Linked DNA regions of Kluyveromyces lactis. The main gene of each other region encodes a partner of the protein of the gene in region 2 in a complex. Links are inferred from orthologs where the notes say so. Each region holds a gene or a part of one and is shown on either strand. Other genes may lie near its edges. The genes, in order: CLP1, PCF11 and RNA15.

Region 1 (3,431 bases), on a different chromosome or scaffold from region 2:
TAAAAACCTAGTTTTGAATGCCTGAAAAGATTCGACTATTTGATGAATATCTTCAACGAAGAATTCGCTGATATTGGAGTCTATTATAACACGCGGTAGAAGTTCGCAAATCACACTTGAACGACATAAAATTCTCCTGAATTTCGAAAGGACTCCTTGTTGATCTGGAGAAACTATTATTGCATCTCTTAAATGATGAATCAATTCTTGAATGTGGTTAAAACTGGAGATAGAAAATATGAGATTGATCAACTTAAAGGAAGCCTTAGTTTGACTATCCTCGTTCTTTCGGAGATATAAAACTAGATTCTCTAATGTTGGAAGCCCAACGCTATCCAGTTCATCATTTGGAACTATTTGTAATATTCGTGTGATGTTATGGAGGGACAAGTTTATTTCCCCTAGGCAATATAATACGAGTAACGCCACACAGCTGAGATCATACGGATCATAGCCAGTTACTACCCTAATTTTTTGGAATTCGACGGTCATAATGAACCTCAGCAGCAATCTTAATGCTTCTATATATTAGTTTCCTTTTCGGTGTATCTTATTCGCATTTGTGTATATCCTATCATTAAATAAAGTATCCGATTTTGTTGACATTTTTCATAAATATGTAAACAATGACTATGAAAGAATTATAAGTAAGAATCATTCCAAGTATCTGTACTCGGTGAGAATCATAGCTCTATCTGGTATTCTACTCGGTACTGGAAGTAATACCCTGAGTTTTTTCTTTGAATCATTCACTTCTGTGATCAAACCGTACCCGATTATCGATGCAGTGTTAAGTTTATCTTGGCTTTCTTTTCTAGATATATTAGTGATAGCGATAATAGCGTGCTGTAAGTTTGAGCTGTTGACTTCAATTTTGTCAAATACTGTTAGATCAACATCCTTTTTATCCTCTCCATATTCAGAGATATTTCTTGGCCTGAAAACTGTTAATTCTTCAAACCCAGCACCCATAGTGTATGGACTTAGGACTGTTTCTGTGGTACCATAAAAGTACTCTCTTATTTGAACCCTCTGTAAAGCTCTTCTCATGATATCATCAATTGCGATAATTGAACCTGGTGGCGGAATTCTTACAATTGATCCTATTTTAGTCCTGAATACTTCACTCAATTCGATAGCTAAGTCATCACTTTCTGCACATACCACTATTGCGTTAATATCGAATTGTTCTATCATGTGGCCAACTTCGGACCAATCTTCGGTGTCAAGATGTGAAAGTTTAGGGGTATCAATTATTACGCCAGACCTTCTTACTATTGGATCGTTCTTTAATCTCTGTTGCACGCCCGATGCTAGTTGTGTAATCGTCGATAAATATAGTGGTCTATTATCTCTGATATTTTCCAAGCCGTAATTTTTAACAAGAGGTTGCTTGTTATGGAGCTTGGTAGCACCTGTAGTAATACTCTGACCCCATATAGAACTTTCAACATCTAGCAACTCAGAAATGGGTGTCGCTGTAATTGAACCTGGCAAAGAAAAAACACCATCTTGTGGGTTCAAGTTCACTAACAACGGTTGATAATGTCTAATCTTCAACGCGTATGAGCATAGCATTTGAGCTAGCGATGATTTTCCAGTTGAGGCGTTACCTACTATTAGTACTCTAGGTCCATTGAAACTAGAGAGTCGTAATCTTTCTAATGCAAAATTTAGATTGTATATGTAGGCATGATATGACTTATTTTCCGAAACTTTTGGCTCAAGCTCTTCTAAACACTTCCATTCGATCATAGATCGTTCAATAGCATAGATGTTCACTATTACACCTTGGAATGTGTAGGGCACATCGTTGGCAAGCTCTGTTCCCAGTATCTCAGCGATCCCATACTTCACAATAACTGTTAGCTTTGATCCTGCTGGAACTTGAACGGTCCATTCATGGCCCTGCGGAAGAGACGATGTCTTAGTGGTCTCAGAAACCTCGCTGAATTCTACAAACTCCATTTCCTTTTTTCTAGCTTCTCCTGCGAGTGGTAATGGTCGGGCTATCAGCTCATCTACCTTTTGTTCTATGTTAATTAAACCTTTTCTAACACTTAAACACTTTAATTTTGATCAATATATCATTACAGATTTTTCCTAGCATACATACTGAAAATATAGTATAAACCAATTGTGGGCAATTATTGATTTGCGCAGGGTTCTTTTCAAGTGTCAGGGATGCAGAGCTACTGTTCTTTCAGGTAGTACTGCATGTTTCACATCTTCCCTACATTCAGTGTATGGGAAATCACTCATTCTATCGAAGTATTTCTCTTAACTTCCTTTAGCCACTTCTCCATCTTTCATCACCCATTCGGTCCAAGACCCGTCGTAGAGTCTGACATTCTTGACACCTGAAATCTCTAATGCAGTCTTGATTATGACACCTGTGACACCAGTACCACACATTGCAATGGTTGGTTTATCGGTTTCAAACTCATTGCCGGTTTGCGAGACGAAGTCTTGTATTTTCTTTAGCATTTCCTCACGATCTGAAGTAAAAGTTTTATCACTGTTCAAGACCTCTAGGAAGGGCAATGGCTGAACGCCAGGAATGTGACCAGAGCTGAGGCCCGGTCTAGGTTCTGGCGCCTCACCAGTAAATCTTTGAAGACTTCTAGCGTCCAAAACCTGGTAGTTCTTAATATCACCTGTCGACACCAATTTCTGCATATCTTCAAAGGAAACTGTTTCTTTCTCTGCCAAATCAACATCGGACACGTATTCACTCATTTCATATGGAGTAAAACTTGTCACTTTAGAAGTCTCAACGGGGTACCCAGACAGTTTCAGGGCAGGGAAATTGTTCAAGAGATATACGGGATCATGTCCCAAAACAGCTAATGTCCATGCACATCTAGGTGCGCTAAAGTTACCAATTCTATCATAAACCACTAAAATATCATCCTTCTTCAGTCCCAATTCACTCATGGATTTATTGAAAGTACTGAGATCTGGTAACATATGAGGATATTCAGATTTCATGTCTTTGACACCATCAATATCAAAATAAACAGCTCCTTTTAGACGTTCTTCATCTAAAAATTCTTGCTTCCCACTTCTGTTCAAGTTTGGTAAATACCAGGTGGAATCTACTGGGATAATACGGCGCTTAGTTTCCTTGGATAATAATTCTGCGAATGCTTTAGGTGTTAATAATTTGTAAAGTGTCATGATGTTTTAAAAACAATTCAATGATCTGGGAAACGCAATTGGGTAGAGCAATAACAATCAAATTTAGCAAGCCAAATAATGCGACTACAACGTGCAAAATTCTGATTTCCTTCTACGTCGTAACTGTGAGTTCCTTCCCCTTTCCTATCCTTACTTTTGCTGTGGTCAAAGATCTAATTTTGACACGATAGTGGAAAGACTACCACGCGAACTGATGTTTACAGTTCACGTGACTCTTAAAATCTACTGAT
Region 2 (3,590 bases):
AGAACACTAACTTTGGACCGGTGGTCAGTAGCTTAGGAGTCAAACCCTTGAAGAATGCAGTGAAACCTTCGTTCTTCAAAGTGTTCTTGATAATTTTGAAACCACTCTCTGGGTTATCAAAGTTTCTATTTTGAATTCTGGTCTTGATAACATCCAATGGTGCACTGACAATTAATGAAGCAGAAGCACCAACAATCGAAGAGACGAAGTTCTGACTCCAAGTAGCTTGACCGTAATCCTTCAAACCCAAGATATATTCCTTGGCGAAGGCGTTACCACCGAATAAAGCGAAAGAACCTGGAGCGTTTCTGGCAGCGGTCCAACCCCAACCACGGTACAAACCAAACCCTTCATCCTTGATGATCTTTAGGAAACCTCTACCCTTGAAAGACTCTGGGTTAGTTTGTCTCTTGATCTTCAAGACATCCAATGGCAATAGCACAATTTCACCGATACCGATCAAAGAACCGGCAGTAGCAGATCTCAAGGCTTTACCGGTCTTTTCACCAAAAGCTTGATCGAAATCACCCTTGAAGTTCTTGTTCAAAAACTCATTGGCAAATGGTTGACCACCGTACTTGTAAACACGTTGCAAGATCTTATAGGCAGCAGCGTACCCCAAACCAGGGAACAAAGACAACAAACGTCTACCCAATGGTTCAGATGCAAAGTCACGGAAAATAACACTGTTCAATTGAGAGGTCGAGGCAATCTTGGTATGGTTTGACATCAATCTCTTGGAAATAGTGTCCACAGGATGGAAAACACCAATTTCCAAGATACCAGCAGAAGCTGAACCTAAGACACGGGCCAAACCCGATTGTTTCTTATCGTTGGTAGTCATCTTTTTTTCCAGCTCTTCTTAGTTCAAATGGATAAGAAATTAAAAGAAAGACCCTTTTCACCTAGTGAGATTCCTGCTTCTACTCTTAATAAACGTTGTTGAAAGTTTCGCACGAGAAAGAAAGGAGCCAGATGCACGTAAAGGCAAGATAGATAAAAACAGTGATGATTCATTCTTGAAAGAATCTTTGATCGATATCTCGAAAGGTTTTTTTTAAAAGAAAAAAGTGTGGTTTCGTTACCCGGATCTGGTGATGTTTTCGGTTTTTCTTTCAACCGAGCAAAACGTTACAAGATGCAGGATTAGGATAAGGAAACCTTTAAAGACGATGAGCAGAGGCAAGGAATAGAGGCCGTATGATTCATTATTTGAGCGCTTACTAGTATCCAGAGGCTTAGTTTGTGGTAATAGTAATTGTTTGCTATATTTTGGTACACTTTTTTCCGAGTTTTGTTGGGATTTCTCTATGAGTTCTGAAGATGGTTCTAATGCGTTAGAGGAGTTTAAGACCACTTTGGATGGTCTTACGTTTAACTCTCGGCCTATAATTACTACCTTGACGCAGTTAGCAGAGGAACATATGAGTTTAGCACAAGAGTTTGTGGGTTTGATTGAAAATAGACTGGAGAAATGTGTTCCTAGTCAGAAGCTTTTCACTTTCTATGTAATGGATTCTATCTGTAAGAACGCTGGTTCTCCGTATACGATCTATTTCTCTAAGAATTTGCATAAATTGTTCCGTAAAACTTATTTACTTGTGGATAATCAGACTAGAACCAAGATGATTTCAATGTTCAAAACGTGGATGGTGCCATTGCCTGCAGGAGACTTGATGTTCGATCATAGTTCTTTGAACAGCATCGAGAATTTTTTGATTAAGGCTAGTGCGTTGCATCAGAAAAGTGCTACTCCGCCGGCGATACAACAACATACCGCTCACAACGGACCGGCTGGGTCGAATATTACTGTGAAATCGTTACTGTCGGATATTGATAAATTAGCGCTGATTACGCAGTCGAAGCTAGTAAGTACACCGGATGACGCCAAGTTGCAGGCAAAAGTAGCGATATTGAAGCAGTTGAGACAAGAGTTGCAGAAGGAACGGTTGGCACCGGAGTTTTTGTCGCAAGTTCATCAGCAGCTCAAACAGATTTTTGCGCAAGAACATCAACAGCAACAACAACAACAGCAGCAGCAGCAGTTGCCATTACAAAATAACTCTCAGTTTCTGCCGCCATCATCTCAAGGTTCTGTAAACAATGATATGTCTCGTGGCTCACTCCAGGCGAACGGTAACAACGGCTCGATGTTCGGAGGAAGCCTTCAATTTAATGCTCCATTTTTGAACCAACTGACCAACTCTAACCGTCTCAATAAGCTTTCTAGTTTGGTTAACATGTTGAGAGAAAAAGAGCTCTTGCATGAACCTGGAGAAGCATCTATTACTACCTTAGCTGCCAAATTAGAACCTGAATTTGATTCCTCCAAGACAGTGCAACTACCGTCATATTCACTTTTACAGGATATTCTAGGTGATCTAGAGGCGCAACGCCAGACGCAAAACCTAGATATTTTGAACGCATCTGTCCTTCAGCTTTCTCAACAGTTTGTTCTTAATGATAACCATCCAATTACGGAAAAGTTGGTACATTTCTTATATCGGGCAAAACCTAATAAATGTAGTATATGTGGTAAGAGATTTGGTAATACTCTTGAAGAAAAGGAGTTGGAAATACAACATCTTGATTGGCATTTCCGTGTCAACAAGAAGATTAAAGGTATCCAGTCCAACACCACTACATCTACCAAGGTCATTCAATCCAGGAATTGGTATTTGGATGAAAATCAATGGGCAGACTTTAAAGAAGAAGACATCATTGCAACAGATATTGATACTGGAGCTGCTGAACAGCAACCTACATTTGCGAACAACAGGGAAGATTCTACTGATGCAATCTATACTAAACTCAGGAATAAATATATTGTAGTACCGGATTATGCCACAGATATGAAGTTCCAGTGTCCTATTTGTACCGAATCCACATATGGTAAATATGATGAAGATCTGGGAGAATGGATTTGGAGCAACTGCGTACAGGTGGGAGACAAATTCTTCCATGCCACTTGTTATTATGAGGCAGCTAAAAGTCAACAGTCAAACACCTCCTCATCTCCATCATTCCAAAATCTTCAATTAGATCTTGGTATTTTTAACGAGCTGCTTCAATGAGTTGATGAATAGCTAGTGCTGATCAATTGTATATTCGAACTCTAGTTGGCTTATCGGCATGAATTTCGTACCATTTTCTTCTACAAATTTCGTTCTAAATGGAAGTACGAATATAATATAGTGCTATATGGTATTTATATATATATATACTTCCTAAATGTTACAACTGCATTATAGAAAACATATGCTATTTCATTACGGCTATCTATTGCATAGAAGTGCTTTGGATTTTGTTTTTCTTCTTACGGGAATTCTTTATCTCGACACGCTTTAATTCGGATCACGTTCCTTCGACTCAGCTTGGTTCTTCAAAATAGCGGTAAGTTTCTTGCGTTCCTTCAGTAACCGAACGATGGTTTCTTTGAGTGCGACGGGATCCTCCCCGTTAGGCCGAGGTTTATCGACTTTCTGGGATTTTGACGAATATTCTTCGTAACGGTCCACTTTTTCTTTAGACTGACTCAACGCTGTTTCAAGATCCTTGACTTTAGCTGTCATGTCCGCTTTTTCATTAGC
Region 3 (2,709 bases), about 380 kb from region 2:
ATGGACGGTTGTATTTCCTTTAGCCTTGCTACATATGAAGCAAGGCTGAGAAAGCTTATTCATTTGTCACAAACTTGGTGGCAGAGAAACGATGTTTGCGGCAGTTGTCATTTTACAGCAGCAGCATCATCATCAGATGGATATCATTGACGATTAACTTGAAAAAATTGTGCTATACTTGACTCGGATTATTGCTTTCCACACATGAGTACTCTTCTTATCCGTTAAAGCCTCCACCTTAGTGTCTTTCAGCTCATTCTGGGTTGAAGTTTTCACAAATGTTAATAGGGTAGACGCTAGTTAATTTCATTTTCTTGGAGCTGATACACGTGACTTTACAGAGTTAATTAATTTGAATAGATACTGCATACGTGGAGTAAGCTTGGTTATTAACCCTTCTCTTCATTATTTCCATAAAATTATACTGCTACTTCTGTCTTACCGTCAAGCGCATTCTGGCTCATTGAAGGTATATTTTAGAGACTGAACTTTACTTCATCCGAAAGTGCGTATTCAATTTGTACATTCTACACCGTTTCATCTATAAGCATTAATGAACTTTATAGTTGACGCATGTTCATTATTTTTGATTTTCCATCCATGAGACGATCTATTAAAGATGACCGAATTCACCTTTCATTGCCCTCTGTTTGAGTTCCCAAACTGCCATCTTTTCGTCTTGCGGAAGCATTGCTATATCTGAATCCTGTAGCTGTAGAACTTGCCTTAGAAGATCCACTTTCTCTTCGTCTAATCCGTCTTCCACTGTGTTATCAGTCTGTTCCTCTGGCCTTTGTTTACTCGCCATAGCCAATTGTGTCAATTGGTCCACACTGCACACACCGTTACTCAACAGGAGTTCCGCAATAGCATAGCTCAATTGAGGTGCCTCTTCTAGGAGTGCTACGAAAGTTTCCTTGTCGTCTTTACAGAAATGTTGGATTACTTTTAGTAGAGCCATCTGTTGGTCCTTTTGTAGCTTCCCCAATTCACTACTGATACACATTGCTGGTGTAGTCATATTGATGTTAACGTCCACCCCTACCGGGAGCCATGGGAACTTCACATCCTCAACCATGTTTCCATTCTCCTCTTCATCTCCGGGGCCAGATCCGCTGCCGTTTATGCCACTACCGGTGGTGTATCCGCACTTTAACGATCTTGAACCCAATGTATACCCGTTCAAGTTTCTAACTGCACTTGCCGAAGTTGCCAAATCTTTGAATTCAATAAAAGCATAACCCTTAGATTTACCCGTCGTTGGGTCAAACATCATCTTCATTGCCGTTACTGGTCCTATCGTCTGACATAGGTCTAATATTTGTTGTTCTGTTTGGTCATACGGTATCGAACCTAAATAAACTGTGCGCGATGGATTTCCCCTGTTCATTGCTTTTTAACTATTTCTATGATTGAAATTGGTTGCACCAGGTTATTTTCACAGCTAGCTGTCTGGTGGAAGTCTGTCTTACAAGTCCTTCGATGCTCTTAGCGGTACTTTATAAGTGTAATAAAACTCAGATATGGCTTTATTGTTCGATTCTTCAACTTTCGTCATCAACTTCAATTCTAATTTTTTTTTCAATGTTCGAATGAAATGAAATTAGAATTGAAAACTAATTAATGACTTCAAACAATCAACACTGTCCATTGTCCAAATGGTGGATTTCAGCAGGTCCTAACTCATTAGAATCTGTTGAGAGCAATATTTGCTGTGTATTATTAACATTCATTCTTCATCTTCGAAAGAAATTGATCCTGGAATATAGATAGAAACTGAGATATCTTCTGCGGATATGGAAACCAAGGACGTTTTAGAAGCCGTCAAAGGATTAGAGAAGAACAAAAATAATAATGATGTTGTGTTCAAGATTCTACAGTCATTAGATAAAGATTTGAAAGATGTTAATGAGAAGCTTCTTAGAGAGACGAAAGTAGGGGTCGTAGTCAACCAATTTAAGAAATCTTCCAATCCAGACATCGTCAAATTGGTGAAGAAGATGATTTTATCCTGGAAAGATGCTGTGGCTCGTGAAAAGAAAAGCAAACTAAGCAGCAATTCCTCATCTACAAGTAACAATAATGGTACAAGCGGTGGAGAAGCAGTAAAGAAGGAGAAATATGTCAGCAAAGCTCCAAGAAATGCTAAGAACGACGGTGTGAAAACGGATATATATGGTGTCAAGATTAGAGATATGGCTATTAGGGCATTATATGATGCATTGGCAAAAGAAAGTGAACATCCTCCAGTAGCTATCCTAGATACAGTAATGAGTATTGAGACAGAAATGGCTAATCTGTTCAATCCCGAGTCTGACGAAAAGGGATATCGTGACAAATACAGAATAATTTACTCAAATATAATCTCCAAGAACAATCCAGATTTGAAACATAGAATTACGAATGGAGAAGTATCAGCCAAACATTTAGTGACTGCTGATCCTAAGGACTTGGCACCGGAACATTTAAAGAAGAAAATTGAGGAAATTGAGAAACAGAATTTGTTTAATGCACAAGGTGCAACTGTAGAAAGATCAGTAACAGATAGATTCCAATGTGGCAAATGTAAACAAAGAAAAGTATCATACTACCAACTACAAACAAGATCTGCGGATGAACCTCTTACTACTTTTTGTACATGTGAGAATTGCGGTAATAGATGGAAGTTCTCGTAGTTGAAATTCTCACTTTGAATTTTACGAAGATAGC

The links.
Region 1: the proteins of PCF11 (region 2) and CLP1 are in contact, whole or in part, in a crystal structure (PDB 4C0B), measured with the Saccharomyces cerevisiae proteins. The link is inferred for Kluyveromyces lactis from reciprocal best matches to the Saccharomyces cerevisiae genes PCF11 and CLP1. Residues at the interface, in NP_010514.3 of Saccharomyces cerevisiae: Asn460, Thr461, Gly462, Ile463, Ser464, Asn465, Ser466, Asn467, Leu468, Asn469, Ile477, Gln478, Ser479, Arg480, Asn481, Trp482, Tyr483, Leu484, Ser485, Asp486, Trp489, Ala490, Ala491, Phe492, Lys493, Asp494, Asp495, Ile497, Thr498, Thr500; in NP_014893.1 of Saccharomyces cerevisiae: Gln154, Leu156, Phe167, Thr168, Ala175, Pro177, Ser179, Gln191, Ser192, Leu193, Thr194, Ser195, Gly196, Ala197, Thr198, His201, Asn202, Gln204, Pro205, Met206, Val207, Lys208, Val232, Val233, Gln235, Arg236, Leu239, Asp240, Gln242, Arg330.
Region 3: PCF11 (region 2) and RNA15 share a complex: the UniProt entries of both Saccharomyces cerevisiae proteins name them as parts of the CFIA complex. The link is inferred for Kluyveromyces lactis from reciprocal best matches to the Saccharomyces cerevisiae genes PCF11 and RNA15.

Annotation. Positions count from the first base shown.
Region 1 is NC_006039.1:860,162-863,592, reverse strand, and holds CLP1 (cleavage polyadenylation factor subunit CLP1), read right to left. Parts: upstream 1,969-3,431; coding exon 655-1,968; downstream 1-654. Other genes in the region: APC5 (anaphase promoting complex subunit 5), read right to left, coding at 1-492; TUM1 (thiosulfate sulfurtransferase), read right to left, coding at 2,281-3,180. UniProt on the Saccharomyces cerevisiae protein: Component of the cleavage factor IA (CF IA) complex, which is involved in the endonucleolytic cleavage during polyadenylation-dependent pre-mRNA 3'-end formation. Associates with HRB1/CF IB to form the cleavage factor I (CF I) complex.
Region 2 is NC_006042.1:1,243,900-1,247,489, reverse strand, and holds PCF11 (Pcf11p), read left to right. Parts: upstream 1-1,310; coding exon 1,311-3,074; downstream 3,075-3,590. Other genes in the region: GGC1 (Ggc1p), read right to left, coding at 1-844; KLLA0_F13420g (chromatin-silencing protein SIR4), read right to left, coding at 3,345-3,590. UniProt on the Saccharomyces cerevisiae protein: Component of the cleavage factor IA (CFIA) complex, which is involved in the endonucleolytic cleavage during polyadenylation-dependent pre-mRNA 3'-end formation and cooperates with cleavage factor NAB4/CFIB and the cleavage and polyadenylation factor (CPF) complex.
Region 3 is NC_006042.1:864,391-867,099, reverse strand, and holds RNA15 (Rna15p), read right to left. Parts: upstream 1,391-2,709; coding exon 614-1,390; downstream 1-613. Other genes in the region: transcription elongation factor DST1, read left to right, coding at 1,797-2,675. UniProt on the Saccharomyces cerevisiae protein: RNA-binding component of the cleavage factor IA (CFIA) complex, which is involved in the endonucleolytic cleavage during polyadenylation-dependent pre-mRNA 3'-end formation and cooperates with the cleavage factor NAB4/CFIB and the cleavage and polyadenylation factor (CPF) complex.